Drosophila melanogaster: one gene and its partners. The gene in region 1 interacts genetically with each later gene. Each region holds a gene or a part of one and is shown in the gene's direction. Other genes may lie near its edges. The genes, in order: Rel, Tl, PGRP-LF and PGRP-LE.

Region 1 (9,494 bases):
CATTTTGGGTGGTCTGCAATGAGTTCTGTGGTTAGTATTTTATGTGGATGTTGTGTTGAGGATATAGCTTACAGCACTGCCGGTGCCGGCTGCTCGGATTTTCGCTTATGCTGCCATTTTACCAGATCATTCTCCACCGAATTGCCGAAGGTGCTGCAGCTCCCGAATCCGAAGTCCATGATACCGCCCGGAGGAGGCGCATTGAATGGGAATGATTTCCGCTTGCTCTGGGGCTTCATCGCCAGTCTGTGGGCATCAGAGATGCAGTTGCGTGGGCAATAGTTATGCAAAGGAATGGTGTTCAAAATTGCAATGGAGATTGGATTTGCGACTTCTTGTTTTCCTTTTCACTGCAGTGTGGCCAGATGGCGTTGGCATAAATAAACCAAAAAAGATGCATCACACTTGCACTGCTAAGACACACTCAAACGTTAAGCGTTGAATTTACAACAGTATCAGATTATTCATACAGATAAAATTGTACGTGCGCAGCATTATCTTCGTTTTATTCTTGGTTATTGAGAAATCTGCAATTTGTCTACCCCTGAAATATTTTAATCTAAGGCCAATTTCGAAATTTCGAACTAGAAAGGTACTAAAAAATACCCGTTTTAAGAGCCATAAAAAGGGCTGCAACGCGCTTCTTTTAAATATTCCAAAGCGACAAGTGTGAAACCAAGTTCTTTTATAGAATACTTTAAACAAAAAGTGTTGCAATATTTAACGAGCTTAAAAGTATATTAGTGCAATAAACTCTAATAGGACATCAGATATTATTCAACAGATCAAACGTTTTCAGTTATTAAAAGAACTCGATTCAAAATGCGATTCACAAGGTGAGTTTTTGAAATCCGTACTTTGTTACATCTCCATTATTCATCGAATATAGCTATATATTAATTATGCCATGTGCTTCTCCTACAAGCATTTTTAGTTCTTAATTATTGTTTTGAAAACATGAGTTACAATGAAAAATAAAGGACAAAACATTTTCTTTCTGAAAACTTCGAAAATAGTTCTATAGCTTAAAACAATTTTGACAATAAATTCACAATAATTTTCTATCACGCATCCTTGGGACACAAATTTGTAACGACCAGAGAAAGTAAAATGCTCGTCGAAATATTCCAGTTGTAAATTAAACAAGCTTGTTAAAGCATGACTCCCATTGGGCAGCCCACTCGCACTTTCCACGGGGGTTATCTCCGTTCGAAAATAACATGTTTTTCAACCCAAAACGGGAGCAATCATCGTCCGCGAACAACATTGTTAATGACGCCTGCATTGTTTTTCCTCTGGCTAAAAACAAAAATCGCCAGTTACCAGGCGTTTGTGCATCAATTCCATAACTTATGGAATAGGTAATGGGTGATCAGAGGGGGCTGAACTCAAAGGCTTATCAGTGGGAGACGTTGGTGGCCCCCTGTGGAGCAAATTGACGTCACCGGCCAACAGAATCCAACTTAATCTCCGAGTGCAGTAATCGGAAATCAGATTTCGTCATCCGCCGCGTCGAAGAAAAACAAACTATTGAAAAATAACTCGTGTCGGAAATTTTAGAACAGCAAATATTCCCAACCAAAATCGTAATCATGTAACTGGTAATAAAAGCAACAAAAGTTGTTCTCCACGTCTTTAAGAATTTCCTAAATAAATATTTGTGCACACAAGGCGAACTTTTAAAAATTTTCATGTTGAGAAAATAAAATATGTTCAATATGTGTTTAGCTATTTTCCGCGTTGTTTCAAAATCGAAAATCCATATATGCACATATGTATTTGTTCCGTTTTAAGCCATATTTATATGCACACAGTTCAAAACTTTTATCGACAAGTGTTTAAAGCTTTTAAGTCGCGCTCGCTCGCACACGCATATTTAGTGCGCTGAACCGAAAAGCTTTTATCCAAAATATACAAACACGTGCGAGGCTCATTCAGTGATCTGTTTCGTTCTATACAGTCCATCGGTATCCGACAATCAGTGCAGTTCGAATTTTCCACCAGGAAAATTTCGCAAAAGCCAACAAAAGAAGTCACAATAAGGTATGCTGCTAGTGAAAATTGGCTAACAAAAATCCATAAAAAATACATAATTGACCTTCAAAGAAATTTGAATAGGCGTTCTTAAGACACGTTTGCTTTTATCAAGCCAAGAAAACGAATTTTCCTTTGTCCGCATAAAGAGCTAATTTTGTAGCCTGCCTATTAATAACTCTAGTCTAGACGCAGACTAGTGGTTGCAAAGTCAAGACCCCGATTTGTTTATGTTTTTCCTGCTAATTGATTATCAATATAAACAAACTCATCGTCAACTGATAAGGTGTAAAAGCATTTACACACACACACCCACACACCTTGGCATGGTAACAAGAGTAAGAGAGGAACGGCGAAGTGAGAAGATTGATTAACACATCAAAAAGTGCAAAGGGATCGTAAATACATACATATATACTCTAAGTGCAGCCTGGCAACAGATCAGCTGTTTCTGCGTGAGTGTGCGTGTGTGTGTGCGCGGGTCCAGTGGGAGTGGAAACCGACTGAATTGCAAATTAGTTCAGTGGCGCATGCTTATGTAGTTTTTTTTTATCATTTAGCACAAGTGTCTTAGGATAAAAGAACATTCCGGTGTTTTAAATTTTCCAACCATGTTGCGACGTTCTATAGGATCCATTTCGGTCTTGGCTTCCCGGAATTACGCCGGAAAGTCTAACTTCAGGTGTGTATGCTCATAAGAAAGTGAATCGGGTCCGAAATAAAACGTAATATCATACGAAGAAAAACAAAGCGTGCGCTAGAGATGAGTGCGTGACGAAAGTGAATTAAGGGAAAAGCCAATGGAAAGCGTAAAAATATATTATTAATAATACTAATATTCGGTACTTGCATTGCATAATTATTATTATTTTATAACACAGTTATAAGTTGTTACGCCGGTTCTCATTATAAATTTGTATTAAAATTCCTTATATCTTTATATTTATATAAGTGTTGTATTATTTATATTAATATTTTGTATTATATACCTTTATATCTTTTTGTCGAAATAGGTTAAATTATATTTATAAAAATTAATCAAGAATAATGGGAACAAACAATCGCGTACGCTTCCATCCCTAGATTTGTAGAACATCTGATTGGGGCGTTGCCACCCAACTCGTTTTATCTGCCGGTGGCAGCTCTGCCTTGTTTTTATTTTAGTGTGCGCGGTGTGTTGAAATCAGGTATTCAAATAAATGAATTTGAACCGTAGTTTCCGTGAAAAGCTGACCCGAAAGCTCGGCGCAAATAGCTTAAACCTGTTATCAGGGCAGCGAGCGTTTTGCTCGCAACTCGTGAGCGATACTACTTGTGTTCGCGCAGTGCTTCGTTCATTTTCGTTCCAGCAGTGGCGCACTAAAGTTCCCCGATTCGCTGCGTCGTTTTTCCATAAATTTGCATATATGTATTAGTTGGGTGGAATACATATAAACAGTGTGATTTCGCTCTGTAAACAACAACCGCGAATCCAGAATTCCGTACATGCTTATAGTATAGCCGATCAAAAAAATCACACTGAGTGGTGCGCCAGAAAAACCCGTGAGTCATCTCGACGTGGCCGCCGCAGATAATTTCCCATCCGCCGAACATCGGGGAAGTACCTAAAACGAATGGTCAGCCATCGGCGGAGCTCGTTTCGATCATTAGCGTTCCGATCGGCGAAGGCAGCGGATCACTTTTGAGTTGTTAAGACGCTATTGATCAGAAATATTGGATTGATACGGACTATGAACATGAATCAGTACTACGACCTGGACAATGGGAAAAATGTGATGTTTATGAACGATGCATCCAGCACCAGTGGCTATAGCAGCAGTACATCACCCAACTCCACCAACCGATCCTTTTCACCAGCCCACTCCCCGAAAACCATGGAACTGCAAACGGACTTCGCCAATCTTAATTTGCCCGGCGGCAATTCACCACACCAGCCGCCAATGGCAAACTCACCATACCAGAATCAGCTGTTGAACAACGGCGGAATTTGCCAATTGGGTGCTACCAATTTAATAAACTCCACTGGCGTTAGTTTCGGCGTTGCTAATGTCACCAGTTTTGGCAACATGTACATGGATCACCAGTACTTTGTGCCCGCTCCGGCCACTGTGCCACCGTCCCAAAACTTTGGATACCATCAAAATGGCCTGGCATCTGACGGCGATATCAAACACGTGCCGCAGCTGCGGATCGTTGAGCAACCGGTGGAGAAGTTCCGCTTTCGGTACAAGAGCGAGATGCATGGAACACATGGATCGCTAAATGGCGCCAATTCGAAGCGGACGCCCAAAACCTTCCCGGAGGTTACACTGTGCAACTACGATGGACCCGCCGTCATCCGGTGCAGTTTGTTCCAAACTAACTTGGACAGCCCACATTCCCATCAGCTGGTCGTGCGCAAGGACGATCGGGATGTGTGCGATCCGCATGATTTGCACGTGTCCAAGGAGCGCGGCTATGTGGCGCAATTTATCAACATGGGCATCATACACACCGCCAAGAAGTACATATTCGAGGAACTGTGCAAGAAGAAGCAGGATCGCCTGGTCTTTCAGATGAACCGCCGCGAGTTGTCCCACAAACAGCTACAGGAACTGCATCAGGAGACAGAGCGTGAGGCCAAGGACATGAACTTGAACCAGGTGGGTAAACCAGCGCGTAAACAATATCGAGTTGCTTGCTTCGATGAGGTGAATATGCACGTTTGCATTTATTATTCACACGTTTAATTGCTCACTTTAGAATGCTTTAGTCAATTAATTATAGGTTGCATTTGCTACCTTTTAATCTTTTTATTTAAGCAGTCTGTAAAGTATCTACTCGTTTAGCTCGAATTATATAAATTTCTCTGCTAAAATAACTGAGCAATATAACATCGAAGCAATTAACTTACTGAAAAGCAACAAAGAACTCACTAAAAAAGTAACACCAACTTTAGGTGCGGCTCTGCTTTGAGGCCTTTAAAATTGAGGACAACGGCGCATGGGTTCCACTTGCACCGCCTGTATACAGCAATGCAATCAATAACCGCAAGTCGGCACAAACTGGAGAGCTTCGCATCGTCCGCCTGAGCAAACCCACTGGCGGGGTGATGGGCAACGATGAGCTTATTCTACTGGTGGAAAAGGTCAGCAAGAAGAACATTAAAGTGAGGTTCTTCGAGGAGGATGAGGACGGGGAAACCGTGTGGGAGGCATACGCAAAGTTCCGCGAATCGGATGTACACCACCAATATGCCATTGTGTGCCAGACGCCTCCGTACAAAGATAAGGACGTGGACCGCGAGGTCAACGTGTACATCGAGCTCATTCGTCCCTCCGACGATGAGCGCTCATTCCCGGCGCTGCCCTTCCGCTACAAGCCACGGAGCGTAATTGTGTCGAGGAAACGCCGACGAACCGGGTCCTCTGCCAATAGCAGCAGTTCGGGAACAGAAAGCTCTAATAACTCGCTGGATCTGCCCAAAACGCTGGGCTTGGCGCAGCCACCAAATGGCTTGCCAAACCTTTCACAGCATGATCAGACTATAAGTGAGGAGTTCGGACGCGAAAAGCATCTAAATGAATTTATTGCTTCCGAAGATTTCCGCAAACTTATCGAGCACAACTCTTCTGATCTCGAGAAGATCTGCCAGTTAGACATGGGAGAGTTGCAGCACGATGGTCATAACCGGGCGGAAGTGCCATCGCATCGAAATCGTACAATTAAATGCTTGGATGACTTATTCGAAATTTACAAACAGGACCGCATATCGCCAATAAAAATCTCGCACCACAAAGTGGAGAAGTGGTTTATCGAGCATGCTCTGAATAACTACAATAGAGACACGCTCCTGCACGAAGTGATCAGCCACAAAAAGGACAAACTGAAGCTGGCCATCCAGACGATACAGGTGATGAACTACTTCAATCTGAAAGATGTGGTCAATAGCACTTTGAATGCGGACGGTGATAGTGCCCTGCATGTGGCGTGCCAGCAAGACCGAGCGCACTACATACGACCTTTGCTGGGTATGGGATGCAATCCAAATCTGAAGAATAATGCCGGAAATACCCCACTGCATGTGGCCGTCAAGGAGGAGCACTTAAGCTGCGTGGAAAGCTTCCTTAATGGAGTGCCAACCGTACAATTGGACCTCTCGCTAACGAACGACGATGGTCTGACGCCTTTGCACATGGCCATTCGACAGAACAAGTACGATGTGGCCAAGAAACTGATCAGCTATGATCGGACCTCGATTAGCGTGGCCAACACAATGGATGGTAATAATGCACTCCACATGGCAGTTCTGGAGCAAAGTGTGGAGCTATTGGTGCTCATTCTGGATGCCCAAAATGAAAACCTTACCGACATCCTGCAGGCACAAAATGCAGCCGGCCATACTCCCTTGGAATTGGCCGAACGCAAGGCAAATGACCGGGTGGTCCAGCTGCTGAAGAATGTGTATCCGGAGAAGGGAGAACTGGCCATGACCTGGATTCCATGTAAGGTCAAGGAGGAGATCGATTCATCGTCGGACGAAAGTAGCGATGCTGGTCAGCTGGAGATCAAGTCCGAGGAGATGGACATCGAAACAAAGGACGAGGATTCCGTGGAGTTGGACCTAAGTAGTGGTCCAAGAAGACAGAAAGATGAATCCAGTAGAGACACCGAAATGGACAACAACAAATTGCAGTTGCTGCTCAAAAACAAATTCATTTACGACCGGCTCTGTTCGCTGCTGAATCAGCCTTTGGGACATGGGTCCGATCCCCAAGATCGGAAATGGATGCAACTAGCCCGCCAGACGCATCTGAAGCAGTTCGCCTTTATATGGCTGGGCGCGGAGGATCTGTTGGATCACGTGAAAAGAAAAGGAGCCTCTGTAGAGTTTTCCACATTTGCTCGTGCCCTGCAGGCAGTGGATCCACAGGCTTACGCCCTACTGGTTAACCCAACTTGATTATGTATTGAATGTTGATCAATAAAGTACCTTAGTTTTACAAATACTATTCTCTTGTGGAATGAAAAATACGCGAAACTAGGATGCCTGGGATAGCAAGCTTTATTTTTAAATATCAGAGCATTAATTTATTTTCCTTTATTAGCATTTATTTAGTTTCCTTTATTATTCCATGGAATCTATTCTTTAGAATAGTTCTATAAGCAATCTAAACTTGTTCCCTCAAACAATTACCATCGGCGCCCTGCATGAGATCACTAGCAAAAGGGGATCCATCGATAGCTCGGCATTAAAAAGTACATTCTAAGAATGGGGAATCACTAATTTTTCATTGCCGCTCGCGCACGCCGCTTGGTAAACAAGTGGGTGAATCATACATGTACTTATGCGCCTAAGTGTGTGTTGTGGGGGAATTACTGTTGCGTAACTGCAGTGACAGGCGGGGATTTACCGACAGCCCTTATCATTCCCGGTTTATGACCTTTCCTGCTATATTTTTTCAAGAATATCGCAACTAAATAATGTTTTAAGGAATAGTACAGTGTAATCTCATTCAATTAAATAATATTATGATCGCATTCCAGCAACATGGCTCAAATTATCGATGGCAAGGCCATAGCCCAGGAGGTGCGCACCCAACTAGCACACGAGCTCAAGGGAATGGAGGCTGCTGGCTATCCGAAGCCCCATCTCACGGCCGTCATTGTGGGCGAGGATCCGGCTAGCGAGAAGTATGTGGCTAACAAGATGGTCGCCTGCCGGGAGGTGGGCATCTCCAGTGAGACCAAGAGATTGCCCGCCTCTACCACGCAGGAGGAGCTGCTGCAACTGATTGCCGATCTGAACAAGGATCCCCAGGTCACGGGGATACTGGTGCAGCTGCCGGTACCCGAGCACATCAATGAGCGCACCATCTGCAATGCCGTCGATGTGGACAAGGATGTGGATGGCTTCAATGAGGTCAACATCGGACGCACGGCTCTGGACATGGAGGCCAATATTCCGGCCACGCCGCTGGGAGTCAAGCGACTGTTGGAGCATATGAAAATCGAAACTCTCGGTCGTAACGCCGTTGTGGTGGGACGCTCCAAGAATGTCAGTCTACCGATGGCAATCTTGCTGCACGCGGATGGCAAGTATGCCACCAAGGCAATGGATGCCACGGTGACCATCTGCCACAGGTATACACCGCCCAAGGAACTGGCTCGCCATTGCCGCCAAGCGGATATCATTGTGGTCGCAGTGGGAAAGCCGGGTTTGATCACCAAGGACATGGTTAAGCCCGGAGCCTGTGTCATCGACGTGGGCATCAACCGCATCAAGGATGAGAGCACTGGCCAGTTTAAGCTGGTCGGAGACGTGGACTTTGAAGGTGTGTGGCTGATCTATTAAATCACTAAAGACCAACAAGATTGATTCATTTCCTCATCACTTTGCAGAAGTTCGCCAGGTCGCCGGCCACATCACTCCTGTGCCCGGCGGAGTTGGTCCCATGACGGTGGCCATGCTGATGCACAACACGCTGAAGGCAGCCAGGAAGCAGTTCGATGATCGCAAGTCCTCCTGAAGATTCACCAGTAACTATCGTGCTTCGCTGGCCGAGAAATAGTATTTTTATTTAATCCCCTAAACCTATATTAGATAGTAAAGTTACTGACCACAAGCTAACATGACATAAACCCACATATTTTGCTATATAAACAGAAATAATGAAATACTACTATTTCGTTTGATTTATGACTTTAACGATGGGAGGTATGAAAAAGTTCCAATATATGATCTTTGAAAAGGTTAAATAATTGAGAAAATATACTTGATGACAGCCAAATAAATTCCAATTATGTTACCTTCTGTTTGAATAACCGAAACAGAATGGCTTTTAACTGTTTATTATCACTAAAAATACAAAGGATACTTGCTCTCAGATGTTTGTGTTTTGTAGTTTACATTGTACAATTTGAACGAAAAACTTTATCTTAACTACTAACTGCGTATTTGGGCCTATTTGCACGATCGCAGGCCTGCGACTTATAATGCTGTTGCCAAAAGCGAGATAATCCTGGTCGGGCTCTAATCGGAAACTCGCACTGGAACTGGCCAAATGCCCCAGATTCGGCTTGGTGTCTTTCCTACGGAAGTTGGGCGCACACTGTAACATACTATTTGCGTCGTTTGTTGCATAATGTAGTACAGCCTGTCTATAATAATGGTAACTACTTGGGAGTGGGATTGAAAACAGCAGGTGTCGTGTTTCAGCAGAACGTTTAAGAATGCGGTGAGGGTTAATATCGTAAATCGGGCTTGTACTTGGCTATATATCTAAAAAGATTGCATTGTAAATCTTTTGTAACGAAATGGTGGATTTTTATATAAGCACTTACTTGTCCAAAGTTTCCCAAAATTTGCTGAGCACTGCCCGATCCATATGACGCTTGTTTTGCGATAGTCGGAGTAGCGTCACTGACCAGCGCTCCACGTTTGAGTCCAATTTCATTTCGCTAAAGCACAAATGAAAAGC
Region 2 (8,538 bases), about 18 Mb from region 1:
TGCAACGCGATCTTTGCCACCGACGGAAGCATCAATTAGGCATCGGAAAATACTTTAATCACTTGGAGTGTGAAAGCCACGCGTCAGGATGTTTATGCTTATGCGTTGAAACCTAAACCAGTTCGAAATATTTGATTTCGATACCAGAAACCAGTAATGCGATAAGCCCTGCCGCCTAGCTAATAATAATAACTAGTTGCAATGATATCACGTCCACTTGCAACCAGTTTTGCAGATCTCCAGGAACTGGAACCCTCGGCAGCGCGCTTCATTTATCCCATAATTTGCATCTGCTGGTGCAAAACTATTTTTACATTTGCAAATGTACATATCTGGTGGGGGAATGTGGCATCTGGAATCTGCTCAAGCGGCTCAGAGATGCGCCAACTTCCGGCCAAGCTGCATTTGCAAATTAAGAGTACAACTGCAACTGCAACTGCGAACTGCTAATGCAACATTCACATATGTTGCGCATGTGCCGCTGCAGCAAATGCATCGCTGCCACTTGAGACTCGGAAATGCGGCTCATATGCATATTTCAACGCCTCCTCAAGGAAAACAAAAACCATTCGACGCGGCCAACGGTAGCCGACGAACCAAACGAAACTCACACAAAATCATATCAAATATCGAAGGAAGCTGACAGCCATGGGATAAACAAAAAGCAAAAAGACAAAATATGAAATAACAATAACGCCGAAATGGGAAAACGGAAAAGGGAAAGGGCAGGCCCAAAGTGGGTGGGGGTGGGGCTGAAAATGAAACAAAGCGAGTTCAAAGCAAAGTAGACAGTGCGGATACAAGTGGAAACTAAATATTCACTGGGAAAATTTAATTTATGCATTTTTAGGATAGTAGCAGCTAGATAGATACAATTATTTGATCTTATATGAAGAACATTACATGGTCTATATACGAGTATTTATATATGATTCTAAAAGATAGGTAAATGTTACGCATATATGTATCTATAAGATATCTACAAGATCTGTATCTATAAGATAACCGCTTTCTGGCAGTGTTTTTTCCCTTATGGGTTTGCTCCAAGCCTTTGTTTGTTCCTCTCGGCATGTGCATGAGTGTTTGTCCAAAACTTGGTAACTTCGCCGTCTTGCCATTTGCATTTCCCACGTTGTCAGGAGGAGTGAAGGGGGGAAAACTCGGGCGCAGTACTGAGGAAAAGCCAAAGTCAACGTCAAAGTTGAACGTGTCAGATACAATTCCATTGCTGGAGCTGAAACTGTTGTTTCTGCCGGGTTATGTCTTTGCGTTTTACTATTTCGGCTTTTGGGCCAAAGAAGAAGCTGCCAGCTGTTAATTGGAATTCGGACTGCCCTTGTTTTGGGTGCCGCTGTCATTCCCGCTTACGATGAAATTTATACAATCTTTCTATTTGGCAGCGCTCAGATCGGGCAGCTCGGGAAACAGAAAGATAAATATACAAAATTAACACGTACTCAGGTGAAAATGAGCAGGTAGTTACCCATGCGATAGCAAGTGTGTGTTCTTGTGTATGAAAGGACGTCTCACACACACACACACACACACAAGACCACCACTCGTTGAGCAAATAACCCCAATAAATAAGCCAAGTTAGACCGATTCGAGGGGCAAGAGGAGGGGGAGCCGAGTTCCAAGCCAAGATGTTCATGAAAAAAGTTAATTAAGGTGTTTGCCCCGCAACAACAACAAGGCCGGGCATTATATGCTAGATATTTATCTCCCGGCTGGGGAAAATGGATCTGGTTGCATGCCGCAGAGTGTTTGCTTTTGAAATGTTTGTCATTATCGTCGTTAACTTTTTGATGAGTCGAACGTGTGTGATAAAAGTGTCACACGGATTGAAAAGAGCGACGAGCGAAAGGAAAAGAAAAACTAATAACGCAGACGGGCCAGAATGAGTTTGTACGTGTGTGTGAAGAGATATATATATGGATGTTGGGGTATATGTATATAGAATGTATCTTTCGGATACCAATTGCCATTAGTTTATTGAGAATCCGAAATTTATGGCTCTGCGTGTCGTGGCCAACCACGCACAAATGGTCACAAATCTGGACCTGAAACACATGTGGGCCTGCCTTTGGTTCCTCCAGCATCTGTGGCACGTACAAATTTCATTTGTTGCACTATTTATGTGCTTCTCCACTGATGAAAATGAAATCAAATTAAATTTTCGGCACAATTCAAAGTGAAATTTTGCAGCTAACATAAAACAAGGCAAATGAGGAATAAATCTCCCGATGTGTGTCCTGTGCGCTGGGTTTTCCCATGTGGGTACATTGAATGGGAAATTACTGGAATTTCCTTTCGGTCAGAATTACATGCGCATATTTCGGTAATATCTTTGAAATTTACAGTAAATCCTAGGTATTTGAAATGAAAAACACGGGCAGTGTGGCAAATGTGTATATTAATGCATCTTTGCGGGGAGAAGTAGCCATTATGTTGCCTATTAAGCTTATCCAGATTTGCGTTGCTTTGTTTGATTTGACGTAAAGTTATTTGCTTGGAAAGAAAACATCTTAAATCCTTGAAAATTGTGGTGTAAGCCTAGTAGTAAACATTAAAATTGTTGTTGTAATATTTCAACAAATTTATTTAAATTTCAAAGACTTTAGATAATTACCAATTGGGAAATGGAATCAACACAAGATTGCTATGAAAATTGTACATGAATTCAAAGATTATTCATAAGCATGTCCTAATTTTCCATACGCCGTGCATAATTACAGAAAACACAGTTGCAGAGGGATACGATTTCCATTTGCATTTCCCATTCCCCGTCCCTGTCGCACTTCACACGCTGCTCCCCCGGGAGCTATGTCCCATCCTTGTTCCGCATTAGCAGAACGCACTTCCACTTCATTTGAGTCGCAAGCGGCAGAGCGAGAGGGTAGATGTTGTGGAAGTGTGGTTTTAATTGGCACACAACAACAACAGCAAGCAGTCTGCTACGTGCTGGCAATTACATTTTACATTTTACTCAGAGAGAGAGACTAATCAACTAATAAATCCATAATCACTGTTATTACGTATGCTGCCTGAGATGCTTAGACTTTGAAGTTAACCGGTTAAACTTGGCTAACAAGAACTGAGAACTACTGGCCAACAACAACTGCCGGCTTTTCCCCCAAAAATGAAAACAAAACAGTAGAAGGCTCTCTTGCTCTACCACTTTCTCTTATACTCTTATACGAAGTACCTGTATTTCAACTGTTTTCCTCTCTCGCATGACTTTTATCGCATGCGATTTGTTTATAGTGCAACGACCACAGACACGAAGATAATTCGTGTGTCTCTCTCTTTTTCTCCCACGCATCTGTACCTTCGAACGGTATTTGTGGGGTAGAAGAAATTGCTCGACTTATTATATCGTTTGCCACTCAGAAGTTAGGGAAAGAATTTTATTTTTTATAAAAATCCTAGTCAACTAACATAAATCAACTGAAAGCTCGATTCCTCATATTATCACATTGTGTTATTGCTACAAGAACTGTTGTTCTAAAAATTCTTATCAGTACGTCAAAAATATAAAAAAATTTCGAGACTAGCATTTTTATCCAACTCATATTTATTTATAATAAGCTGATTATATATAAAACCCAAACAGCTTTATAGAAATAACTTCACACGTTATTTAAGGTTAAAAAAGTAGCAAGATAGGATGTTATTAAAAGTAGAATATAAAAAATATAATAATAATTTAAAATGTCTTAACAAACTGGAGCTTAAGGAACCAAAAGCAAACAAAATGATATAAAACATATAAAGACTGTGACAAAATTATTAAAATTTAAAATAAAATATATTAATAGGCTGATTACAAATTTAAGTAAATAATGTTTTCTATATTGAGCAAAGGGTATCTTGCCGCCGACTCAGCCACTCTCTCGTCTTTCCCTCCACACTAAGCGCACTACCAGCTCTTCATCTCTCAGTTCTTCTTTCTTTTCGAGTCGAGTTCAGTTTGTTCCGAATCGCCGACGTGAACGCACGCTTGTCGCGCTTGTAGCAGTTGGATTTTTGATTTTCCCAGCCAGAGTCCCGCGTTCGTGTGTTGTGGGCCGCTTTTGTTTGTCTCGTTTTGTGGCCAGCGATTTGGCAACCGAATAAGCCAAGTTAAGAGCAACGCTACGCAGCACAAAATCCATAAAAACAAGAAACACAAGGCGCAATTAAATGCAAATGTGTGAAAGTGTAGCAAGCATTTAACCAAAAATAAAATCGCAAAAAATCGCGGCTTCAAAGTGCGAACAAGCGCGAACAGAGAAGCTAAACAACAGTGCCAGTGCGTGTTTGTTCGTGGCAGCTTAAGAAAAGCCAAATAAATATTAATATTTGCACAAGAGATCGCAGCGGAGTAGCTAACCTCACATTTAATAAAACACGTATTAAAACGGTAAGTATTTACGTCTCCTTGTTCAGTTATTACACTTTGAACCGTGCCATCTCGCTCTGTCTCGTTATCTCCCATTCGATTTTGCTTTGTGCTAAGCTTCGCTTGGCTCGCGCTAAGCTCAGCTATCTCTGTCCCACTCTCTGATCAGTCCAATTCGCCTATAATTGCACAGAAAAAAATTTACCAAATTGATGGCTCATCGGGCAATTGGTTGACATTTTGTTCCAGTTTTGATCACAGTCAGATAAAATCAATTTAAAGTACATAAAATGAGCTGTAAAATATTTGTAAACATCTTTAAATTGATCTATTAATACTACTACTACTACTACTACTACTACTAGTACTCTGCGTAAAACCGTATTTTTTCCTGTGCAAATTGGCGATGAATAACAGTTTCAGCAGTTGTAACCGTTGCACAATTTTCCCCAGTGCTTGTGTGTGTCACACTCTTGTTGTCCACAATTTCCGTGGTTTTTCTCGGCACTTTCCAGGGAAATGTGCAAAATGCTGCAGTGCAGCAGCAAGTGCTCTTCGGCCTTGGGGTGTGCTTTGCGTTTTGGCCAACCCATGAACGAAACAAAAAAGAAAACAAAGCCACACGCATTTGGCCCAAAGCTCACGAGCCAGCATATTAACACTTTGAATTTTTGGCCAAAAACCAGTTTGGAATCGAAAAAACAAACAGACACAACAAAAGTTTATTTACTACCAAAGAGAGCTTCGTTCAACAGGTTTTCATTGCGGGGACTTTTATTCGTATTGAAGGTGGAAATACCTGGGTAATGCAGGTTTCAAAAGTACTTCTAACAAACCAGAAAATGCCCACTTGTGCTTTAAAAGCTAATAAGTTGCTGATTAGAAACAGCAAAACAAAATAAGAGAAGAAGGAAGGGACAAGAATCTTCTCGCTTGTACCAATTATGGTAAAAATCGTATGACCTTATGATAAACTTAGACTTTTGTTTTTAATTCATTTCGATTCTTCTTGGGTTTTCCAACACCATAAATCTCTTCTTAGTTGATAGCCCTTGACCACTAGCTACATTTATATGAAAAATTCGGAAAACCCCAAGATTCAACCCCAAAAGTTCAACGATTATCGCTCAGAAGCAGCAGGTCTTGAATTCAAGAACAATGCTGTTTTAACAATAATTATACAATATATATAAATTTTGATTGTATTTTTTTCCGATAGTTAACATCCTGCCATTGAGCTTCTTTCGCCTGAGGGTTTTCCGAATAACTGTACTCTGGATTTAGGTTAAGATTTTTCTTCTTTGGCCCACATCAAAGGCAAAGAAGCTTTCAAAGCGGCTATAACAATGGCGGCAAACTGAAAAAAAAAAATGCTAGTCTTCGTCTGTGAAGGTAAAACTGCGGAAGTCATTTAACAGTCTACTTAACTTCTGCCAAAAAAAAAAGAAGTGAACGAAAAAAATGAAGTGGAAAACGGCAAACTGCAAACGTTCAAGATGCTCCGCTTGGGTCTTTCGTCTTGGCCACGTTAGAAAGTAGCTGTAATTGTGGCTCCGTTATTGTTATGGCCAAACCGCCACTAGTCCAACTGCAGGCGGTAAAAGTTGCCCAAAATGAATTGTCATACAAACACGTTTGTTATAAATATTTCTGCACAATGAGAGACTCATTTAAGATTCATTGTACTCGCTTTTTTAGTTGTTAGCTTTATTTTTCCCCCTCTCATTATTGAGGGCGTTTGTCCACTCGGTTGATAAGCGAAAAGGCAGAAAAACAATATTCAAAGCTGACTCCGCTTTGGTTTTTACATCTGCCAAGTGTTTTTTAGCTTTCTGCTATTTCACTCTTAGTTATTGGCGACTTGTGTTGATAATTAGCACGTCGGCTTTCAGCGTTTCTATGACTTGTGGTCCGCTCAGCGTGATGAGTCAGCCTCCTAAGCTGAAAAGAGCGTTACGATCGAACCACCATATGTCTTACTCTCCCGATCTCAGATCAGCGGGCGGTTTAACCCAAAGTCAAACCAGATCCGTGACGTAAATGGGAGACAAATACACGCAAAAAAAAAACAAGACTGAAGATCTGAAGATTGTATCTATAAGATCTGTTATTAAAGTGATATGTAATTACATACTACATTCTTATATGATGACTATAATGACTAATATAAACACGTTTTAATATAGTACAAGTTTATATTATATAGCGTAATATCATACTTACCGTATTGTTATCACCTGTTTTTTTTTAACAACTCATTTCTTTTCGTGTGATTTCAACGTGTGAGGTTTTTTACTCTCCAATCAGATTGAACTGAGATAGAACTGCCTGACCAGTCACAGGGCTTATTGCCTTGCATTCAATTAATTAATTTCAATTTTATTGCTTCAGCTGACCATAAAATCGTGAAGGGAGGAATAACCATAAGTTCCCCACTGCGACATTCTCTCGGTGGAGGGAAATGAAGTCGTTGCACTTGCTTTCACCCTAATGCCTTCATCAGCTGCACAAACGAAAAATCTCATTAATTTTCCACTTTCTGTCTATCTTTGGGTTATCTCTCCATTGTTTGTCCCCGTCCCAGTTCCCTTTATGTTCTTACTATTTTTTTTTTTTTTTGGCCCTACCTGCGTGCAGGAGTTTTCCCTCATGAAGTTTTCGGTCGCGACATGTTTTCTGATCCGTGTCCTGTGCTCTGGTCTAGTTCATTAGATGGACTTGGCTAATCGATTTCCATAATCAAACAGATGGCGCCAGAATATGAGAACGAGAATGAGACATAGCAAATGAAGCCGAGTAAATGTTGATATAATAAACCCCGTGTGGCAGGGCCAATTAGGCCTTACTCCTCACCTGTGACACAGCCACATATTTTCTCATTTGAATAAAGAAACACGACCACAGCAGGGGAAACATTAGACGCGCCTAAACGTAGAAATTAGCGGCCACAGAAAACGGGAGGGAAAAATTCCAAAAAAATAAACATACCGAAAAAGAGAAATTTAATTAAAGCCGCATAGAAAAAAATGCATAAATTTAGTCACCCAAAACACCCACCCACCTGGCATGTAATATTTGTAACCTCATTGCGGCGGCAGGGGAAAGGCGGTGTAATTTTCACGGTCCCCGATCTGCAGCTTTTCACCAACTTGGCGGGTCAGTCCGGCATAATGATTAGGGTCAGTGTGGGGTGGAAAGTCGGGAAAACTCCTGCCACCCAGCTGGAAAAGGAAAAGCAACAGCAGCGGCATAAGCATCAGCATCAGCAGCAGGTTGCCAACAATTTCTGCTTATAATTTTCCGTTTTTCATCCTCCTTTTCTTTTTGGCCCGCTTTGTTCTGGTCGAGATAAAAGCATTTGTCATTAGCATAAAATGTTCTGGCTCAGGTTTTGATCTGGAGTTTGGCCCGAAAAAAATTAAAAATGCTACGAATATTTGAACTTCATTAGTGGGCCAGCGAGCCCAAATGGGCACTTGGCTATAATTAAAATTTAAGCTAATTTTAATGCTCAGAAAAGCGGGGAAAGGCAAGCCGAACAACAGTAAGTCAGCAACAATTTGGGCCAGATATTATAAAATACCTCAAATGGTGAATGTCCAACGCTTGATTTAGCTTTAAGAATGGAACACGAACCCAAAGTGAAAGATAATGGATTGGGAAAATGGAAAAACCTACGCTTTTCCTTTGATGGGCATTCACTGATAAGAAATGCCCACGCAACAATAAGAACAGGAAGACACGTTTTCGTAGGTGCCAGTAAAAGGCGATCGAGTCATCATGCCTCGCCGAGCACCCTTGGTAGTACCCTTGTAAACGTCTCAAGATTAAAGTCACCGATAAGTCGAAAATGTACTTAGATGGCCAAGATGCCATGATAACGCCACTCCCAAGGGCCAACACTCAACACTTTGCGTGAATGGTCTGCAATTAAAGGGACTTCTGCTGCGACTCCTGTCAACGTTAATGATTGATATCCGGCCATTCGGCCTGGGAAAATGTTTGAACACACACATATTTTGCCTTGACATGATCCCCAATAACCGAAAATGTCAGGAGCCAGCCCCTCGAATTTACATCAATGGCATATCGCTTGAAAATTTAATAGCACATTAAGGGCGGACAAGGACTAACATTTGCATTCCTAATGAGACGCC
Region 3 (4,019 bases), on another chromosome or scaffold:
CGCCTATATCGGATCGTTTAAGACCATCCAGCCGTCGGCCAAGCAACTAAGTGTTACTCGTCTTTTGCTGGAGCGTGGCGTAAAGCTGGGCAAGATTGCACCAAGCTACCGATTTACGGCGAGCAGTAAATTGATGCCAAGTGTAACCGATTTTAAGGCGGATGCGCTCTACGCAAGCTTCGCCAACTGGACTCATTGGTCGTGAATAGGTTAAGAGCTATTTCGATATTTTGCAATACTATCATTTATTTTCGTATTGATTTTGTATCATAGGTGTTCTCCCATTAATGTGTGGCATATTCGATTTAGCTAGAGTAACGATTCGTTTAAAAAGAAAATGTGATATTAAATAAAACAAAATGATTTACTTGATGAATTTCAATCATGTATGGGGATCAAGAACTAGCTGATAACTGGAATCGGGGAATTTCTGTAGAGGTGCTGTCTGGAACTGCCTGAAACCGGAAAAGTTGTAATATGGCTTGGCTTTTCTACGCATTCTTCCACCTGCGAGTTATGGGGCTTCCCCGATTATTGGAATTTTTAATTTCTTTCGCGACTATCTTAAAATTATTATATTATTATATTATAATTATTATTTTATACGGAGGTTAGTTTGCCTGGAGGTTGTTTTATCCGGACGTTAGTTTGCCTGCGGTTGTTTTATCCGGAGGTTTATTTATCCGGGAATCATTTTATCCGTTTTTATCCGGAGGTTAGGTTGCCTGGGGTTGTTTTATCCAGAGGTTAGTTTGCCAGGGGCTTAGCTTTCCTGGGCGTTACTTTATCGGGGGTTATTTTATCCGGAGGCTCGTTTGTTAGGGGGTTTGACTGGGGGAGTGTATTACCTGGAGGTTCATTTAACCCGAGGTTAGTTTGGCTTGGGGTTATTTCATCTGAAGGTTAGATCGTCTAGTGGTTATTATAGCAGGAGGTAAGTTTGCCTGGGGGTTTTTGTGGCTGGGTTTTGTTTTACCAGACATTTACTATCCGGAGGTTAGTTGGTCTGGAGTTCAGTTTGGCTGGGATATCTTATATCTGGCAAATATTTTATCCGGAGGTTGTATAGGCTCCATTTTACCTAAGTTTTAGTTTGTCTGTTAAAGAAATGTTTGCTAAATTCGCTTTCTTTTTCTACTTATCACGATCTATCTGCGTTCTATTTATGACAAAATAAAAACAGAATAATAATCGTGAAGAACTCTTTTTGGGTCAGTTGATCAAATCGCAGCCGCTAACTGTAGTCGGTCACTCATTCCAAGAAACCGGAAAACATCATAACTTCGGTCCAAAGATGAGCTAGCTTCTTTCAAAAACGCTAAGAGTAAGTATACGCCCCCTTGACAAAATGGGATTCCCATTTCTTGGACTGCTCACTACCATCAAATATCTCTTTCTAATCTCAAGTGGGCGGCGTTCAGAGATCGCGCACCCTGTTGCAAAAATGGCACCCTATATTAAGCTTTAAAAAGCTTTCTTTAGTTATACATACATATATTTATTTATAGGTATGAATATCTCTTATCAACAAGCTTATGAACTGCGCAGTCGCTTTAGGTTTTCAAATGTCCGGGGATTTTTCGGAGCCGTCAACAGAAATAAACAACAACCGGACTTGAGATCGGGTGCGTACTCACTTCAGTTGGCATCGGACGTTCGTCGTGCGAGGATCGATCGCGGTTGTGGGTAGTGCGATATAGTGAAAACATCTCAAGATGCCGAAAACAGTGGTAGTTACTCACCCAGGAAAACCGATAAATAACGAGAAAAGATTTCGCTTCGAGCTTCTCTATTTCTGTGTGATTCTTCTAATGGTTGTGGGTTTAGCAGCTGGCTATTTCATGTGGATGATGTGTGAGTCATTAAAGCGAATCGTAGATTGAATACAATTTAATAACCAATAACCAATTGTTAACCTGGTTTAGCCTTCTCCACACATTCGCCGAACAAGGGCCTACACATACTCGATCGCAGCGAATGGCTGGGGGAACCACCCAGTGGGAAGTACCCGCACCTTAAGCTTCCCGTCTCCAATATTATCATTCATCACACGGCAACCGAAGGATGCGAACAAGAGGTAAGTCTTACTTTGGGAATTTTAAATTGTTAATATCAAAGTGATATAGAATTGCTTTAAAGCTAACTTGAAACCAGTTTGTTTTACTTAGCTTACTGCGGCAATTACTTAGGATTCATGAAAAGGCTTTATTGTAACCAGTTGTTCTTTTCTTATCTACAAAAATTTATATAAATAATCAACCCAAAACTTTTCCTAGAAAGCCTCGTAAAACCGATATTATAATTCAATAGCTTGCCATAAAAAAAAACCCCCGCTTTGAGTCTATAGATCGACATACTTTTCGGTAAAAAACCCCCATTCTTCAGCACTATTTCGAGTTAATTAAACTTTTCTAAAAGTTAGCGGTTAAAAGACTGTTTACTTATGCATAAATCTTATTTCTATCTCGCCCAGGATGTTTGCATATACCGCATGAAGACCATTCAGGCGTTCCATATGAAATCTTTTGGTTGGGTCGACATTGGCTATAACTTTTTGGTGGGCGGCGATGGTCAAATATACGTAGGACGCGGCTGGCACATCCAGGGTCAGCATGTGAATGGATATGGTGCCATCTCCGTTAGCATAGCCTTTATCGGAACTTTTGTGAATATGGAGCCACCAGCTCGACAAATCGAAGCAGCCAAGCGACTGATGGACGAGGGCGTACGTCTCCATAGATTGCAACCGGATTATCATATATATGCCCATCGACAATTAAGCCCCACCGAAAGTCCTGGCCAGAAGCTTTTCGAGCTGATGCAAAATTGGCCCCGATTCACGCAGGATCCAACATCATGTAATGCAGTTGAAAGAAAAAAATACGAGAATATATTTATTTTCAAAATTTATTTTCAGTGCGACTCCTAAGCAATGAGACTGTAAAGATCGTTACCCGACCCTATTGGTTGGCCCAGCCACCTATAGTGCCACTTACTCCTTTGAAGCTGCCAATTGAGAGCGTGAGATTTGTGGCAACCAACACGCCATCATGTTTCACTCAAGCCGAGTGCACTTTTCGAGTGCGCCTTCTGCAAAATTGGCACATCGAGAGCAATGGATATAAGGATATTAACTATAATTTCGTTGCGGCTGGGGACGAAAACATCTACGAGGCCAGAGGTTGGGATCACAGCTGTGAACCTCCAAAAGATGCAGATGAACTAGTCGTGGCCTTTATTGGTCCATCGAGTAGCAATAAAAAGATAGCATTAGAACTAATCAAACAGGGCATAAAACTTGGTCATATAAGCAAGAACTATAGTCTAATTGACGATTTAGAAAAGTCATAGAAAACTGAAAGCAAGGGGAATGAAACTTGGCTAGTGCCATTCCTGTGCCATTTTTCAAAGTGATATTAATTTAAGACCTAATGTTAAGCATCACAAATATCTCACATCCAATAGGTGACAATCTCCTTCGTATTTATAGAAATAAACATGCCTTTATTGAGTTTCAACAGCTGCTATCTTTTATATCTCATTTGAACGACTACAACTAACATTTTTGAAAACATATTGCAATTCGATTTTGATTAAAAACCCTGACTGATTTCTACTTAACGATATATACAGATGACACACTTTGTGCTTACAACAATTGGCTAAATGAAATTCGTTATTGGAAATTTGAAACGCGAACATGGCTACTACATAAAACTTAGACAATTAGACTACAGTTAGTGAGACGATATCCAATTGTACAGGATTTGATTTAGTGGTCCAAGATGCGCATATTGCCAGATACAATCTTGTTCTCCAGAATGGCTCCAGCTGGGATATCGATACGATCGCCATGGTTAGCAATGATGATCACAGTGCCCTGCAGAATCAAGTTAAGACATGTTATTAGCGTATTTAAAATACCATTCAATATTATTCAAACTTACGCGCAAAGAAACGCCACGACCGAAAGTCACATCTCCGCTCACGGTCAAGTGATCCAGCTCAATGATGTCCGG
Region 4 (8,543 bases), on another chromosome or scaffold:
AGCGCACAGCGGAGCGAGACGGCACTACAACGTGACATTCCTTAAATTTTTGTTTGTGTTCAGGGAACATTAAAAAATATTTTTATCTTGTGCAAAACCATGAGGAATCAACTTCTGATGGGAAGAATCCTTTTTTTCCAACTTGCTGCTGCTTGTGTGTCGCTTTGACGTTGCCGACGCTGCCGTGCTGCTTGCTTTTCGCTTCTTCCGTCGCCTGCTTTTGTCGGTTTCAAGGGAAGCCGATGCGAACCAAACCGAAATCCACGAACTTTCTATGGAAGATGGCAACAAGAAAACGCACAGTGTCCCGTGGAATGTTTCGAAACTGAAAATACCTCTAGCGAAAAATGTGCCTACGAAATTGATAAAAAAAAAAAAAAAAAACCCCATCTCACTGCCACATCATTGTCATCCCCATTGGATAAAAGCTAGCACGAGATTTTTTATCGCGGAAAAGCAATGTGTTGTAAGATTTCTACTCTAATATTGTTATTTGATTCGATCACATGAATGCATTAACCATCAGAAACTATAGTTTTTGGGACTCAATTTTTATTTTTTTGAATTTTTTGAATTGAATTTTTTGATTCTTGGAAACGTTCGAAACATTCGGACAGATCGAGTTGATCAGTTCACAGGATAAACTTTTTCATTTTATTAGTGTTCTATCAAAGTATTAAGTATTGCTACTTTACGTTACATATTAGGCAATCTACAATATGTATGTAAATATAATCCTACAAAATCCCATAAGGATTCAATTAAGACTTTGTTTGTTGTTTTTCCAGCGGAAAAAGCCGATTTACCACCGACGCAATCCTGTTCCAATTTAAAAAAAAAAAAAAACCTTGTTATTTTAAGTTTTTGGAGAGGAACATAAATGGGACCTTTTCAAGGCCCGAAGTCTTCAAGATTATTGCTTCTTATTTTATTGCTGAATTATCAGATTTGTTTCCTCTAACATTAATCCCTCAATTCTTTAGTCAACATTTTTTCCACTTAATAGAACATTATTTTTTGTCAGCATTCATAAATTGTCTAAATAGTTGAATATTTCGCCAGACTATAGAACTAAAATCGAATTTTATGGCTTTGACATTAAATAGACTTTCATCATTTGCTTCTAAGAAGAAAAACCCAAGAATCGCTGACAGTGCAATTAAAATTGAAGAGTATTTTAAAATTACAAATGCACAATAAATTGTAATTCATTAAAATTCATCATCGAGTTACCACTAATGAACGGGGTAAGTTGCCGTCGGTAAATTTTAAAATATTATCATCGTATCTAATCTTAGCATTTACTTACTTTTGTACAGAAACTTCGAGTAATCACAATCCATATCGCATTGGTGTAAAGCTCCAGGATTAGATGCTACTTATTGCGCGGCTGCTCCGATTGGCTAGGATATGGTCTAGATGTGCGAGGATTCCGAAAGCTGGAGAAGATCTCTATCTCGAAATGGAGAGCTGTGCGGATTGATTGGGCTATTCACAGCACCTTCTTCGGCGAACTTTTTTCGCGGACCTTGCAGGGATCGAAGAAATAAACCCAAATGCGGATGCTTATCAGTGAAAACCGATCCATTTTTTAGGATTTAACCGCACTGCACATTTTCCACCGTCGCGACTACGATGATATTTATACGAATTATACGGATTATGTTTATCTTTCGCGATTTACATGACCAATTGTGTCATGAGCCCGGCTTTTTTGTTTTAATTTGCATTTATTTACTCTTCGCTTATGTTTCGGTTTCTGTTTGTGTTTCTGTATTGTATCGCAATTGGTCGTTCATTGGCTGGCATTACTGAAACTTAAATCCACTTCCAAATAAGTGTATCGTGCGTTTTTAGTTTCCCCTGCAGGTTGAATTATTGTTCTTTTTTTTGGATTTACTTTCTGGTATTTACACAGTGGTAATGGGAGTCGAGTTTACACTTGGTCGATGTTTACCGAATCTAGTCGCTCGATTCGATTGTTCGACGGAATGGGAATTGGCCACCATATCATTGATTTAAAGGCGTTAGTTAAGGTTGTTCTGATATCAGACGGATTCCTTAATAAATGCACTGCAAAAAAAAAAGCAACGTAATTATAATCGTTAAGGAGGGGGAACAATGGCTTGGGTATTATTTGTTTATTTGTATTTATACGTATTTTTTTTTTTTTTGCTGGCCCAACTCGCTTCAGTAGTTTTCCCGAAGACGATGTGCGGGTGTTTTTTGTGATTATTAATTTATTTATTTGTTTTTTTTTTGAATGGGGTGCAACAGTTGTGCTGCAATCAGCACAAATAAATCTTTGTGGGTGATTCATAAGCTGTCAAATAAACGCATACAGCACTGCACAGCACAGCAAAAAAAATGTTGGAAAAAAAATAAAAATAAAAACACGATGTAGAACAAAATATTGGTATTGGGCAGAATGGCCGAAAAGCGCTCCGAATTACCTGCGCATTAACAATAACGGCGCGAATCGGATAGGGATACTATCCAATCCAACACTATCCAATCCCAATCCACTCCACGCTCTCTATATGTAAACTTAGCACACACGAACGCAAATTTACACTGGCATACATGAAATGCAATTATTATTATTATTATTATTATTATTATTTTTTTGTTTCCACGGTCTGTTTCAGATCCGGTTGCAGCTTATGCGAAGCTAATTAAACTAAAACTATAACTACAACTTTGTTTACACAACACACCGCTGGCCGAATGCAACGTCGAATTGTGCTAAAGCGAACCCATTATTTAAGATTTCATTAAATCCGCGACGTTTTTTCCTCCAGGGCACATCATCTGATGTTGATGGTTTTTCTCAAACTTTGCGCTTATTTTTACCGGCACACGGCGCAATCTGTTTGGCTTTGGACTGGGTACGAACTTGTACTTGTACGGTACACCGATAGAACAACATATCCGACGGATAGCGACGAACAAACGGAACGGGATGGGTTTGGCGGATGGCGGATGGTGGATGCGGATGTGGATGGAAATTCGGTACGAGAAGAAAAAACCGCAATTCGATTATATCTTATGGCTGGCGTTTGTTTTAATTTTAACTAATGTTAACTAGCTCTCGCAATCGAAATAACACAGACAGACGCAAGCGATGGCATAAACAGAACTACCAATAAGAAATTATCTCAAAATGTATTTCAGGCAAAAAGTAAAACAGTAAAAGCTCTTCTCATTGAGCATTCGCATTCGCACTCGGCTGCTTCCATCGAAAAATTTTTCGAAACTGAAAGCAGAAATATATTTTTCTGGCCATTCCAATTCGACTCGAAACTCTCTCGCTCTCTTCCTCGCTCTCTTTGTGCGCGGTTCCAATCGGAACCAATTGTGGAACCTAAGAGAGCGTTAATTCTAAGATTTTACATAAAGAGAATCCGTTTTTCTCTTTCATTTTCATACATTTTTATGTTTTCTCTTCCCCTAAATTATGTTAAAAGCTTTAATACCAAAGCTTCACTTTATTTGACAGCTGATTCAGCTGAAGGTGATTGCCGCCCTTTTTTGAACTCCACTAAAAAATGCCTATTTTGGTATATTTGATTAGGTTATCTGTTGATTACAATATATTTAAGCTGTTTGTCCAATTAGCGAAGATATTTAAAAAGTTTATTTCACTTTTTGATATGCTTTTAATTTAACTTTTAAATTAGACTGTGTTCCTGTTCGGAATACGGTCACACCGGAACAAAAACATAAACAGACCTTTGAATGCATTCCACTGTGCAGTCAAAAGTAATAAATATAAGCTCCTCAGTTTTATACGTCAAACTATCGCTTAAGCAATGTATAAAATTAGTTTATAAGTTGGTTACATTTTAGTTTATTCTCTTTTAATGGCTCTAAGTGACTATTAAATCCGTGTTGTGGTAGCTCTTTGGTTGGCTTGAATAGCCAGCAGTAACTAAATATAAAAATAAAGAAAGTAATTGAGAGACTTGGAGGGAAGAACAGCGCATACGCGAGAGTGGTCGAGTGAATGTTTACAGCGCATGAATTAGGTTTTGGTGGTTTATCTGAGTACCTCTAGCCCCATGACTAATGCTTAAAGATGGGCTGACTTGGGTGTAATCACCTGCCTCTACAGGTTTATTATCAAACACGGTGCAGTGTTGCAGTTAACTGCTTAGCATTAAAGCCCAATATAGGCAAGAGTGTTGGAAAGCTCATCTTTTCCAGCACTGGGTGCATTGTACCTCCAGTCGATTTGATTGGTGAACCAAACTGGTTATATTTTAGCCAGTGATAAGGGGTTTTCGGATCTGGACAAAGCATTTGTATGTTTATATATTTATATATATTATATTTATTTATTTATATATATTTATTTACTTATTTATTTATTTATATATATTTATATATTTTCATAGAACAATATATATATGTATACAGAAATATATGTCCAAAACGGTTAAAGAGGGATAATTTAAACTATTTTTTTTTGTTCGTATTTAAATTTTTGTAAGCTTTATATGGTTAATCAAATACTTATCGAAATCTGAAACTCAACTAGTGGATGCGGCCCACTGTATGTACGATACCGCTAAGCTCCCTTCAAAGGCAGTGGAATTGTTCTAAATGCGAACATCGATAATACTTATCGATATCTAGACTGATCCTCGATATCCATGACAATAATTAATACACATGACTAAATATGCAAAAAAAAAGCCCCAAGTGGACTGATATGCAAAAAAGCATTTCACCACGGCACCTGCGCATATAATGGTGGATAGCCTGTGGAACGTCCTTATCTTATCGTGTAAGGTGGACACGACACGAACACTAATCAGAGAATAGAGCAGTTCTAACTCACAATATTGATAAACAAAGTAAGGGCCAGCCGAGAGATACACGCGCATTTATTGGCAGCAAACAGAAGCCAAAACTACGGACATGTCCGAATCGGGAATCAAAAAGTTGAGCCAGGAGCGGACTCGCGAATGGTTGGCTAGTCAGGAGGACGAGGAACTGGAGTCCATTGCAGAGTCCTCGGTTGTGGACAGCTTGGACTACGATTATACCGAGGAAGAGGAGGATGCCGACCAAAATACCAGTGAAGAAATCAGCACTATGACACTAGGCACTCAAATCGGTGCGTAGTACTCAAGATCAAGTTTCTATATTCAATTTATAACACTTTCAATATATCCCCACCTTAAAGCTACCAAAAAGCATTCGATCATCAGCGACACCATAAGGGACCTTATGAACTCGATCAACAGCATTCAGACTTTGGGCAACGTTAATATAAGCAACTCCACGAACGTCCATATCGGCAATGTTACCAATATTAATGGAAATATACAAATCATAGCCGATGGCCTTACTCAAAACCGAAGAGATCGGCGGCATGTTTCACCACCGAGAGATAACGCTCCCAAAACTCCGACACATTTCGAAGACGACTATCAGGACGAGTCGGAGGAGAGGGTGCGCTCGGATGTGTTCATCAGGCGCCAGAGTAAGCTATCATTCACCAGGGGATGCATACACGTTAACCATAGGATACCGATTTCACTTACAGAATTCAAAATACCCAAGGAGCTGTCCGCCATCATTCCGCGCTCTTCGTGGCTAGCACAGAAGCCCATGGACGAGCCACTGCCCTTGCAACTGCCTGTTAAATATGTGGTTATCTGTGAGTATTCAAGTTTGCTGCACGTTTTAACCATTTTTTTGCCAACTGATTATAAATCAAGTTGTCTGTAAAAGTATGACGCAATAATTAAAACAATTTATACTATTTGATCTGACCATCATGCTTAGCACTCACTAACCTAAGATTATATCGTATTATAACTCTTTTCGAATATATTTAAAACCTTGATTAACAAATATTGTTTTACCACGCAGTACACACAGCTACAGAGAGTTCAGAAAAGCGGGCGATCAACGTAAGACTTATCCGTGACATGCAGGTAAGTATTTCGTTAGCGAAATTAAATCATATATGCTCCGAACTATATAATAATTATGTATATATATTTCAGTGCTTCCACATTGAGTCGCGGGGATGGAATGACATTGCGTACAACTTCCTGGTCGGCTGCGATGGCAACATCTACGAGGGACGCGGATGGAAAACGGTGGGCGCCCACACTCTGGGTTACAACAGGATCTCGCTGGGGATCAGTTTCATTGGATGCTTCATGAAAGAACTCCCGACGGCAGACGCCTTGAATATGTGCCGCAATCTGTTGGCCCGCGGCGTTGAGGATGGTCACATATCCACCGACTATAGATTAATTTGTCACTGCCAGTGCAATTCGACGGAGAGTCCTGGTCGGCGATTGTACGAGGAGATACAGACATGGCCCCACTTTTACAATATCGAGGAGGAGGAACAATGAGGGACAAAAGAAGAGCACCATTTCACATACTTAGACTTAAATGCACCCGAGTTACGTTTATAATGTTGAACATTAAATCACCTGTTTATAAATTTTCCAGCTACTGGCAGTTTCGTTAAGTTACTTTATATTTTGGTATAGTTTTTGCAGCGCTGAAAGGTGGAAAAACCACAAGATGTTTCGGAACCAACATCGCCTACCTGTTTTAATTCACAACTGAAAGAGAAGCAACAATTATACTGCACAAATATGAGCGAGCTAGCACCACATAAATACAGACAATAGTAATGCATTTGCTGAAAACAATCTATAATTAAACAAAAATTTGCGTACAGTCAAGTAAACAATTAACAATTAGAAGTGATTTTCTTTAAGCTTTGGCGGAGCCGAATACTTTTCCTTAACGTGAGCACGGTACTCCTCGTCATCATCGTGGCACTCCTTATAGCATAGAGTGCAAAAGAGTTCCCCACCACATCCGTGGCATCGGAAGTCGGCGTCTTCGTTACAAATATTGCACCAGGGCAATTCTTCGGTGTTGCCGGGCGACTCAGTGTTAATTGGACTAATTTCACTCTCGGAAGGTTCTGGTAAGCGCGATTCTGCTACATACTGAATGGGAATACGAAAGTGATGATTTGGCTTAAAAAAAATAATGCTACTATATAAATGCGAACCTTTTTCAATATGTTCTGTAGAAGTGTCTCGTCATCCTCTTCGTTGTCCGCGATACTTTCCATCTGGGATCTCGATGGGCATGCATCGGAATCGACGGGTGTATCGCGCAGAGCTCGCAGACGTCTCTCAATGTCGGAAATTGAGTCATCCCTCTGCCTGCTGATATTTTGATCCAGTTGGGCTTCGTCAACGAATTGTGCGAGCAAGTCCCTCATTTTCTCCTGATCGTTTCTTTGGTCGGTGGACAGTAGCAGATCTTTCTTATCGTAGCTTTTCGTATGCGGCATCCCAGTGAGATTGGCCAGACGGGTGCGGATCTCATCATCGGTGGCATCAACTCGTTTATAGTCCTGCATTCGTTTGGTCAACTCACTGTCCAGGTTCTCATCAATATGATCCTTGTGATCTTTGGAATGTGGTGACGAACTGGAACTGGGAACCAATGCCTGTGGCAGCTCCTCCACAGGCAGGCTGTCGCTGCAATTAATCGAATTATAGTTTCAGAATCGGTGTTTTAATGTGGTATTTTACTTACTTGAATAGGGCATCGGCGCCATCTGAACTTTTGGATGGAGGAGCCAGGTTCATTTTGGTGACTAAGATCCCCGGCAAAGCATCACAGTCTATAACTTTCTCGGCATCGGCGCTCGCCTGGAGTTTGGATAGTTTGTCGTAGCATATGAGGCACACATTGTGCACCTTTCCTGCATGACGGGGCACGGGCATTGGTCTCTTCAAGCACTTGGAGCAGAATGAGTAGCCGCAGTTGGGGCATCCATACTAAAATTTCGGATTTAACACAATGTAAGTAGGTGATATATGTTGGTTTGCTTTGGTTTGATGGCACTTGCCTCCTTGCAGAATAGGCCATATTTGCGACCGCAGCCAAAGCAGCTCATTGCAACCAGAGTCACCAATGGAACATATAAATTGAAAAAGTTTCAAATTTCGTTTGCTTTGTTTTGAAAGAAGCCAGTTCTAATTAGGGATGGTGTACAGTGTACAGTGGGTGAGCTATCGATTACGACTTAAACGCATTAGCGTTCTAAAAATCAGCTGTTCCTTGTTTTGGTTTAGTCTAATATCAATATTATTAAATTCTTGAGCTTTGTTGTGACCAGATCGTTAGGAACTAGAGATAGTCGAGTGAGTCCTGGTATCGATTGTCCATGGCACACAACAGCTGTTAATGAATAGTATTTAGTCTTGTAAATGTATTTAGTAGTTTATTTTGTTTACAAATCAATCGAGGACTGATCACTGATCACTTTTCAAATGATTCATTGAGATCCGAGATTTTTCACCTAACTCGATAGTTATCTAACGCGAGCGTGGACTTTGGTCCGGTGGAGACGGGCTGTTATACAGGCAGCTATTTACCGATAGGGTAAAGGTCTATCGGCCTCGGTCAGGTATCGTCAGTGCAATTGTTTTGAGGTGCTAAGACGTCAATTGATTGACTTGTCCACACAATCAATTTAGCAA

Evidence for each region.
Region 2: of Rel (region 1) and Tl, changing one enhances a phenotype caused by changing the other (phenotypic enhancement), as found in Drosophila melanogaster (one study listed by BioGRID).
Region 3: of Rel (region 1) and PGRP-LF, changing one suppresses a phenotype caused by changing the other (phenotypic suppression), as found in Drosophila melanogaster (one study listed by BioGRID).
Region 4: of Rel (region 1) and PGRP-LE, changing one suppresses a phenotype caused by changing the other (phenotypic suppression), as found in Drosophila melanogaster (one study listed by BioGRID).

What each region holds. Positions count from the first base shown.
Region 1 is NT_033777.3:9,041,706-9,051,199, reverse strand, and holds Rel (relish), read left to right. Parts: upstream 1-3,222; 5' UTR 3,223-3,764; coding exon 3,765-4,676; intron 4,677-4,972; coding exon 4,973-6,976; 3' UTR 6,977-7,017; downstream 7,018-9,494. Other genes in the region: Mst85C, read right to left, coding at 1-13, 73-239; Nmdmc (NAD-dependent methylenetetrahydrofolate dehydrogenase), read left to right, coding at 823-836, 7,561-8,348, 8,416-8,543; hyx (hyrax), read right to left, coding at 9,259-9,295, 9,358-9,494. UniProt on the Drosophila melanogaster protein: Transcription factor that plays a key role in the humoral immune response as part of the peptidoglycan recognition protein (IMD) signaling pathway.
Region 2 is NT_033777.3:26,795,079-26,803,616, forward strand, and holds the start of Tl (toll), read left to right. Parts: upstream 1-3,962; 5' UTR 3,963-4,402; intron 4,403-8,538. UniProt on the Drosophila melanogaster protein: Receptor for the cleaved activated form of spz, spaetzle C-106. Binding to spaetzle C-106 activates the Toll signaling pathway and induces expression of the antifungal peptide drosomycin.
Region 3 is NT_037436.4:9,347,971-9,351,989, forward strand, and holds PGRP-LF (peptidoglycan recognition protein LF), read left to right. Parts: upstream 1-1,638; 5' UTR 1,639-1,715; coding exon 1,716-1,854; intron 1,855-1,925; coding exon 1,926-2,077; intron 2,078-2,473; coding exon 2,474-2,858; intron 2,859-2,896; exon of another isoform or gene 2,897-2,917; coding exon 2,918-3,351; 3' UTR 3,352-3,519; downstream 3,520-4,019. Other genes in the region: PGRP-LC (peptidoglycan recognition protein LC), read left to right, coding at 1-205; UGP (UDP-glucose pyrophosphorylase), read right to left, coding at 3,773-3,880, 3,948-4,019.
Region 4 is NC_004354.4:15,799,088-15,807,630, reverse strand, and holds PGRP-LE (peptidoglycan recognition protein LE), read left to right. Parts: upstream 1-3,750; 5' UTR 3,751-4,304; intron 4,305-4,540; 5' UTR 4,541-4,923; coding exon 4,924-5,122; intron 5,123-5,191; coding exon 5,192-5,491; intron 5,492-5,554; coding exon 5,555-5,668; intron 5,669-5,883; coding exon 5,884-5,948; intron 5,949-6,020; coding exon 6,021-6,380; 3' UTR 6,381-6,478; downstream 6,479-8,543. Other genes in the region: CG15602 (uncharacterized protein), read right to left, coding at 6,735-6,992, 7,058-7,535, 7,594-7,838, 7,910-7,957. UniProt on the Drosophila melanogaster protein: Peptidoglycan-recognition protein that plays a key role in innate immunity by binding to murein peptidoglycans (PGN) of Gram-negative bacteria and activating the imd/Relish pathway. Has no activity against on Gram-positive bacteria.